2 linked regions of the Schizosaccharomyces pombe genome follow. The protein of the gene in region 2 interacts with the protein of the main gene of each other region in a biochemical or structural test. Each region holds a gene or a part of one and is shown on either strand. Other genes may lie near its edges.

Region 1 (4,792 bases), 110 kb from region 2:
CAATCCGCTATCTTCGAAAGGCATTGAGAGAACGCACAGCAATCTTGTGTTTTAGATGGAGCATATTTTGACACCCACAGTCCTTTTTCTAATATTTGTGGGATCATTGGCATTTCAACATTAGGATCTGATGGCAAAAGTCTTGACAAAACCTTTTGAATAAAAGGAGCCGGTGAAAAGCACAACGATTCCAAAGCAAAAGTATGAAGTTTAGAAGGAGTAACCTGTAATACTTCTGTTTTATTTTTCTCAGCTAATGGGGTTATCATATTCGCGGTGGTGGAGGAAAGAACCTCCTTAAACGAAAGATGAGAGGTCTCTTCTAAAATGGCTTCTTCTAAATGCTTTTTCGGAAACCAGAAAACACTCGGCTCAATAGAGCCGGCATACTCTAACATACTCTGGGAATCGGGTGTCGGCCATAATGGATCAAGTAACCTCTCTGGCTTAGTACCGCCTCTTTCTTCACTTACAAATTTGATTTCAGAATTCTTTTTCACAGACTTTGACATGAAAAACGGGTGCATGGATGTGACAGTATTTCGCAGATTACTAGGTGAATCTGCTAAGTTTGAATAATGTAACTCGGAAACAAGGGGGGAAGAATTAACTGTTTCCTGTGAATTAATATTCTCAACTAAAATATTAGTATCTGATGCTTCTCCCGACGACTTAGCAGGCGGAAAGGCAGTTGAGTTGGTATCATTGCTGAGTTTTGGGTGTAATATATTCTCAATTTTTTGACCCAAGGAAGTCGATACTTTAAGCGTTACTAGTAAAGATTGATCATTTTCAAAGTCTTTGCTTTCCTCCATATCCATATCAAAGAATTTCCTCATGTAGCTACGTTCCTTATGAAGTGATCGGCTTCTTCGAGGTTTACGAGACCCTGACAAAGGAGATTTGCCAAAATATTTATTTTCAGATGTGGCAGGGACTGGTGACATTGTGTGTCTCCTCCCAATAGGCTTTTCTTCTTTTGCTTCATTTTCGGATTTTAAATCAGGATTACTCTGCGAATCTGCAGACAAATAGCCTACAATTTGCATAGGGATCTTCAATCACCGCATAAGTTCAATAAAAGTCCTAGTTTGAATGATTTTTAGAAATAGTTTCACAGGTTTCTCAGCTTTCAACAGTTTGGTTAAGGAGAGGTAGACAAAGACTCCGTGTACTAGTGAACGAGTATTGGGAATTCGATAAGCTTATAGTTTAGATTTATTTATTTTTAAGTATGTTTTAGATTACTGAAATTCCTAAATAAAATATCGTTGCACCATTGAAGCAACACGATCCTCCATATTATCATTGTTATGTGTAAGCTGTCAGTAATTGAATAGAGAAGTAGGAGATATAATCGTCACAGTTAAGCTTTTTCATCTCTTTTAAAAACGACTTACCAACTTTTAATGTGAGTTTGCTTATTCCATGCAAAGAAAACCGAGTTCAATAGCTATTAATCCATAGCCTAACATAATCAGTGAAATAGTCAAAAGAAAAATTTGATACTAATATACTTTTTAGAAAATTTTAAAGAATTTGTATAATTACTATTTCTACTACCGCCAATTAGTCGGAACGCTGACTAACTTTTTGTGCATCGTTGTAAAATAAAGGAGAGCAGAATTTCACTTGTTTATGATTGTAGTAAATTTTCTAAGTTAAGTAGTCTATTTACTTCAATTAAGTAAATCTAGATTCAAGAAACGGATCACATTTGTTTATCTGTTTATTTATTTGTTTGTTTTTTAAAAAAAGGTAAGTGTAAAGCTTTCCTTCCACTTTAACTCAATCAGTAAAAAATAATTTATTTTGAAGATGATTTTGCTAACAATTTTATACATTTCGTACTGCAACATTTTGCTAAAATATCCTGTTTATGTTTTGACTTGCACTTTGTTTACTTTTTTAAGGCAACTTCTATAACGTATTGTTCTGCATTACATTACAAAAATAAGAAAATCGCACAAGTTATCGTTAACAAACCTGCCTTTATACTAATTCTGTTTAACCAAAGCACATGTCAATAAACAATCAAAATGGATGAATACATCCCTTTTGACGATATTGTGCGCCAATACGACCCAGATTATACAGGAAAAGTAATTTCTCATTACTTGAAAAATAGTTTCTAATTTTCGACAGGTTTCCATTCAAGCATTTTTAGAAATTGTCGACGATGTTGACGCATTGCGACTTAATCCAGAGGCCCCTTTGCTTGATAATGAGCAAAGACAATCGGCCCAAGATTTTATAAAAGATAACAGTGAGATTGTAGTGTCTACGAGTGAAATTAAGAATTTGTTTTATGAGTTAACTGGTCTTGACCCTGATACCCTTCCTGTAAACAAATTAGCTTTGCGCGAGAATGGGGTATTACCAAGAAAAAGTGTAGCGAAGCCTCAAAAAATATCAGAAAATCGAATAAAGAGAAAAGATATGTTTTATCAAGACGCAAGTTACATAACACCAAGAAAAGGATCACCTTTGAGTCATTCAACCCCTTTGTCAATGTTTCGAACTAAAAATGAATATGGATCAAATAAAGGATTTTCTCATATAAACAAGGAAAATGCTGATGATTCTTTAATTCAACAGCTTTATGAAAGGATAGAGCTTCAAGCGGCAGAATTACGTTCTAAAGACGAGCAAGTTAAAGAACTAAACGCGCGAAATGCAAAATTATTGGAGGAATTGGATTCTTCGGAAGAAGCTTGCAAGTCTTGTTATACCCAAGCGAAAACCTGGGAGAAAAAATTTCGTGAAGCTCTTCGTGATTCTAAGGAGTATGCAGCTCAATTACAAACCATTCATGAAGAGTATGAGCAACAGCAAGCCCATATTGTGAGAATGGAAGAGCTAATCCATGCTGTAGAAAAGGAAAGGAAAACGGTATGATTTTTAAGAATATGCCTTATTCGAGGTAGAGACAAGCCAGTTTACTAATTTGTTTAATAGGAAACAGATTACATGAAGAAAGAATCTTTGTCGGAACAAAAAGAAAGAGGCGCTTTTATGGAGTCAAACATGATTTTAGAAGAAAAGGTTGCACATCTTCAGTTGGAAAACGAGCAGTTGAGACTATTTTTTAAGGAAAAGGCGCCTCAACCCTTCCAAAATCACCCTCCGTATCAAAATCTAAAAATTACTTTTCCCAGCCCTTTCTTTCACATCCCTTACATCCCTAAAACGGAGACTTTGAACGATTCCCAATTTGCCGCTGGTCTCTCTTTACTGGCATCAGAACTTGAAAGTCAAAAAAATCTGTTAAAGAAGTTCGAAAACTTAAAAAAGAAGTCTTCCAAAGATTTTTTATCTCCCTCCACCATACTCTCTAATGCTTTTTCCAAAGTTTCACTCCCCAATTCTTTAATTTTGCGTGTCTTATTTTTTTCATTGTTGTTCATCATCGGAATTCATATTTTTTATTTTTTGTTTTTTCATGTTGCAACAATTCAACAATGGCCTTTTCTTTTTTGGTTACCATCTACAAAATTCGACAATCGTTGGTCTCCGACATGAATCTTAGATTCAAGTTTAATCCAATTTTTATTTTCAAAGCACGGATTCCAAACTTAATTGCTATAATTGAACATTGATTCAAGATTTATGTATATTGGAATAATTGATGTATTTATGGGGCTCTGCTCAATTCAAGACGATCTGTATCTTCTAACTCTTCGCCTGATAGGCAACGGACAAGAAGTTTACATTGAGCTAATAATTAGTCGCATCTCATCTGCGTTTGGTTTTAGGTGTGTCATATGAAAAAGGGTTAAAGCGACGTTTTTCGTTTTTATGTTTGAATTAAGATATTTTCTCTGAGACGAAATATTTTTAGTGTTTATCATTCTTTTCTTGTCTAATCTTCTACTCGCCACTCATTTTTCTGTTCTCTATTTTTTCTTTTTGGATGAATGTCGTTTCTTCTAATAACTTCTTTCTTTCTTTAATCTTCAAGGATAGCCCAAGTCCTATTAAACTCGGATACTATCTTTCTCATAATTTCTCTTTTATAACTAGAAAACTTTTTCACGAATTAATTATTTATTATGCACTTTTAATATTAAATGAAAAGTATTGAATTAAAAAAGGAAAAAACCATCCATTTTTCATATCATGTAAACATTTAGTTTTTTTTCCATACAATAAATCAATTTTTACAGTTACGTTATCATATATAGTGAGATGTACCGTTATTTTGTGAGCGCAAAATAGCTAAGAAAATGAGAGAAAACGTAACCATCCCTGCAATCTACCAAATGGTATGTAAATAGTGAAAGGGAGAAAAAACTCATAAGGTTGAAGTATTTATTATTCATTTAATCAGAATCTCATAATACTATCTCAGAGGGCTTTATTCGTGAGGTTTGAAGAAATTGACCCTTAAATTCTTATAAAAAGGAAACATCTACATACAAAAAGCAGATATTTTCAAAATTCAATCGCTATGGAGAATCACAGGAGTGTATTCTCAAATGTGATAGGTGATATTGTTGAAAAACCGCCGAAGCAACTTGTTGAAGTGAAGAGGTCAGTTCAGCGGCATGCTAGGGGATTTCCAGCCGTTTCACGAACATTGCCGAAACGAGAATCGAAATCAATGAGTGCTTATAAGGAGAAGATGCTTCGAAAGAATAAGGAATCTCCGGGTTTGGAAGGAAAAGGGAATTTGGATGATCAAGGTATTGATGAGGAAAATCGCGTTCGTTTGGAAAGGATGAATGATCTGGAAATTGAAGGAGCTCAAGAGGAAATTAGGGCCACTATTCGTGATGACTTGCTGGAGATG
Region 2 (4,572 bases):
CAGTCGCCGACTATATTACCATTGTTAGTAAAAAAATAAAGTATTTAAAAAGAAATAGCAAACCTTCGTTTTCGTAATAGCAGACAGCAAAGTAGATTTACCAACAGATGGAAATCCAATAAATGCAACTCTAGCATCACCACTTTTCAAAACATCGAAGCCCTCCCCCTTTGGCCCCGATTTTGAAGTAGGTTCAAGTAATTGAGCCCTCAGCTTGGCGAGTTTTCCTTTCAACTAAAGGACTAGGTTAGTTTAATTTAGAGTTGATTCTTTATAAGTTGGAACAACATTGTAATATTTGCTATAAAATAAAAGGCATTCCAGTTAGAAATGAATTAAAAAAACTTACCAAACCAAGATGGTACTCCGTCGCCTTATTTTTTTGCGTCCGGCGCATTTCAGCTTCAATCTCTTGAATCTAGCCAATTTAGATTAGTATATAACGGCAGATATTTTTATTTACTTTTTCTAAGACACCCATTTTCCCATTTAATAACCTATCGTAGTGTGGTAATATGAAATTGTTGCTACTTTCAAGTTTTTACTGCGTATGGCCTAAGACAAGATTCAAATGGAGGTTGAGGAGATGGAATTCTTCCAGTCAGCTTACGATCTAAATGTACAGCTGAATGTTTTTCTAGTAAAATACTGCATGAAAAGATGAAATTAAATTACAATATCCACGACTAATACGGCCTTTTACAAGCCTCTTATAATGAATCCATCATTTATACTAAAAATTAGTAATTTGAGTTAATATTAATAATGGACTTATATTTTATTTAATTCTCGAAAGGAATATAGTTAATTTTCAATACTTGATGCACACACCTTTCCTCAACAAAAATAAATGAAACTAAGGCTCCAGTCCTTTACTTAAAAAGGATATGCATTCTAATTATACAATATCGATCTAGTAAAATTATACCTTCAGGAATTCAACTGAAGTTCTTGAAGTTTCAACTTCCTTCGTCTTCTCCTTTCCTCTAATCTTTTCTTTGCATTCGCAGTACGTTGATTTGGACTCTTCAAATCATAATCCACGCGAGAACTAGTTGCAACTTTAACTTGTGGTTTTTCAACATCAGCACTTGTAGTTACGTTCGCTTTTGATTGGTATACTGACGTTGGATTTGTTTTTCCAAGGTTTGAGCTTAAAGAAGATAACACGTTTGGCGTCACTCTTGCTTTTGGCAATTGCTGCAAGGTAGTAGCAGAAGATAAGCTACCACCATCTTGTGGGAAACTAAGTTTCGACGGTAAGTGGGACTTCTTTGCTGCTATTGAAAATGGAGCAGGTGTAGGAGTTTGATTAGACTGCATTAAATTCATACGTACTTTGGAAGCTGCGGAAATAGGAGTTGATGAAATTATTCCTTCAGAAGGTATTAGGTTTGTCGTATGGGACTTTTTTGATGAATGAGTCAGCATTTGAGCTGCCAAATGCGACATATCTGCTCCCCGATGTAAATTCTTGGAAGGAACCTGTTCTTGAGGCTCACGCACATCAGATTGGGATGGCCTAGAAACAACTTTAGTAGTAATCGGACTTGGCTTAGCAGTATAAAGCTCCCTCATTTGGCTAAATCTATTTCCAACGAATTCCTTGCCTTTGTATTTTGACTGTTGTCCTTGATGATTATGGATTTTCTCCGTTTCTAAAGCTCGACAACGTTGTTTCCAAAAATTGATTTCCTCTTGTTTCTCTAAAATTAAGGATTCCAAACGCTCACGGATAGAGGTTAATTCTAACTCAAGATCCGAATGAGCAGAATCTAGCATACTAAACTTTTGCTTCCAGTATTTTCCTGAAGAGGAACGAGGCGCATCAAGGTTTATCGTATAGTCAGGTTCATCCAAGCTCTCAGAGGGAAAAGCTTGGGATGTGTCAATCATAACGTCTTTAATAATTTCCTTCATTTTTCGATTATTGTTCACAACATCTCGAAAGCAATCCTTCATTAAACTTGACCAGTCATTATTATTGTTACTATCCCATTTGAATTTAGAGATCTCGGCATCCATCGAGTGAGGATATTTTTTCTTTGAAGGGACATCTTCGCCTAATCTCTGATTGCTTTTTGTCTCATTTTTATAGGATTCATTGATATTAATATTATAGCGATTATCAAACTCGTCATGCTTACTTTTGTTTTCATTATCCGGATTATTAATATTCGGTTTTGGAGTACTCTGTAACAAAGGGGATTTGAATTCTTCATGACCCATTAAAGGATTCTCATCATCTAATCTCGTAAATAAGAAATTATTTTTCGTTGGACGATTCCACGTCGCAGCATCTTTTGAAATATCTTTGAAATTGACGGTCTTCTTTATTTGTAAAGTACCTGGAGTTTTCAAAATCCCATTTTGTGCTGCTTTACTTTTTAACGGAGTTAATGTCTCAGTTGGGCGCAGGTCTTCTTTTGCGTCTTGCGGAAGTTCTGCATCAGATTCTGCATCCTCAATGTAAGAGGACATTTTTGTAACAGGCTTCGTCACAGTTCCTGCTAATTTACTAGAAAATGCTTTCAAAACCCATGCATATGTTGGCGGAGTGTTCAAAGTTTCTAAATTTTGAGATTAGCTTTGTTTACATAGGAATTCCTTACCTGACATTCTATCGGATCTCTGAATTGTTCTGCATGTAAAAATATAATTAAAAATATAAATAATTTAAACGAATTTAACAAAATTATGTCCAAACAACCCAACTTTAACAATATTTCCCAATTCGGTGGTTTTCAACGTATGGCACAAACACAACAAACTAATAAAGAACCCGATCGCATGTTACATTGGACGTCCTCTCAGTACACTATTTTACACACTGCGTATCGTCATATTTCTTTTAATATGTGAACTCGTTATTGTATGTTAATAAACTTTGTGATATCGTGAACGGTCTTTTCGCTATATGGAGGAGGTAATTGAATAGGAAGTAGAGTATAGCTGCAATGAAATACATTTACTACTACGATTATAAATAATACTTATAGATGGGTAATTGATAAAGGATATTGAGTATTTGTAGATATAGCGCTCATTGCAATAAAAGTCATATGGCAATTTTTGTCTTAACGAGCTTGCGCATCCAAATTCATAGCATTTGAATCAAGGGGGGTCGCAATGGTTGAGCTTCATTTTCGTGAACAAGTTTGTCGTATTTCCACCATAGAAAAAGCACGCATCTATCTACCTGTTTGAAATAGTCAAAGCAAATCTTAGAAACTTTAAACTTTTTACGTAAGATATATGCCTCAATTTACTTTTAAAATCTTTTTAAAAAACAAATAAGGAATTCTTATACGTATCGATCAAAAACCGACTCTATCAAACTTAAACATATTGGGAAATCTAAAGAGTTCATCTACACTAAAAGAAAACAACAGCATACTAAACAGAATACACAACATATAACGAGCAGCAAAAAAGTAGACAAACCATAGAAAGGTTAGCTAAAAACGAAACACACATATTGCCCCTTCAGGGTAAGCAAGATAAATAAACATGCGAATTTTTTCAGGACGAGTCATTTCAACTAATCCAAACTAAAAATTATTCATAAAGAACGATTTAGACCAATGGATGCTGTAAAAGATTTTGCGCTTAAAAAATAGAAAAGACAGTCCATCATAAAACTAAAGGTTTTAATTTCGAAGAAAAGAAGCTGAAATTAAACGGTTGGGTAATAGCAATTTTCAAAAAGTGAGACGACACTCTGTACAGAAAAATCAAGATCTATAATTATTCGACCAACGCTTTACCAATGTAAATAAATAAATCCTCGCCATAAAGTTGTTTGCTGGCGAGGGAATTAATGAAAAAATAACCAACAATCATTAATTGCACTCAAGTCAGAAAATAAACACGGCTTTTAGTTTAATCAGTGGTGCATGCTCTCTTTCGAGAAAAGTAGAAAGAACAAGCCAAATAGTTTTTTAAAACATTGCATCCAAACAGCAACAGCAAGCAAGACCGGTCAATCTAAAAACAGTCGTTAGTAAAGAGAAAAAGGTAAAGCAAAACACAGTTCAACAGGGAACTATTCGAAAGGAACGCCAAAGCAACTTTAATCGACTGACGTAATGACCTAATTCAATAAAGAATACCCCATTCACCTTTCAAAATTAAGAGTGTGCTTCACCGTTCCAATGCAATTTCGACGTCTTCTACGCGCCCATTCTTTATACTTACAGACCACAGCAAAGATCGCCACCAGGATCACTGGCCTGAGGTTGCTGAACATACATAGGTTGCTGAGCAGGATATCCACCTTGAGGATAGCCTTGTGGAGGAGCATAACCTTGTTGAGGATAATTTTGTTGAGGAGGATAATAGTTTGGGCCTCCATAAGCTTGTTGAGGAGGAGCAGGGGCCTAAAATTGAAGCTGTTAGTAAAATCCTGAATAAATTGTTGCAACTGAGCTGCATAACAAATTCCATACATAGCCCTTATCACCATAAAACTGTTGAGCAGACATTTGACACCTTAAATAATTGGGTACAAAAACAAAACCAGTTGATGGTAGTTGGCAAGTTGTGAATCGGGCGCAGGCTTCTATGTGCGCG

What was found.
Region 1: the proteins of cut12 (region 2) and kms2 form a complex in vitro, tested with the Schizosaccharomyces pombe proteins (one study listed by BioGRID).

What each region holds. Positions count from the first base shown.
Region 1 is NC_003423.3:646,237-651,028, reverse strand, and holds kms2 (protein Kms2), read left to right. Parts: upstream 1-2,009; 5' UTR 2,010-2,039; coding exon 2,040-2,102; exon of another isoform or gene 2,103-2,145; coding exon 2,146-2,892; exon of another isoform or gene 2,893-2,958; coding exon 2,959-3,522; 3' UTR 3,523-4,093; downstream 4,094-4,792. Other genes in the region: DNA replication factor C complex subunit Elg1, read right to left, coding at 1-1,049; rba50 (RNA polymerase II-associated protein), read left to right, coding at 4,451-4,792.
Region 2 is NC_003423.3:539,330-543,901, reverse strand, and holds cut12 (protein Cut12), read right to left. Parts: upstream 2,747-4,572; 5' UTR 2,620-2,746; coding exon 2,613-2,619; exon of another isoform or gene 2,571-2,612; coding exon 931-2,570; 3' UTR 734-930; downstream 1-733. Other genes in the region: GTP-binding protein Gtp1, read right to left, coding at 1-10, 64-234, 350-418, 464-481; tail anchored plasma membrane protein Uvi15, read right to left, coding at 3,942-3,987, 4,198-4,379, 4,449-4,484. UniProt on the Schizosaccharomyces pombe protein: Required for bipolar spindle formation. May act as a regulator of the p34cdc2/cyclin B kinase. Required for full activation of the plo1 kinase.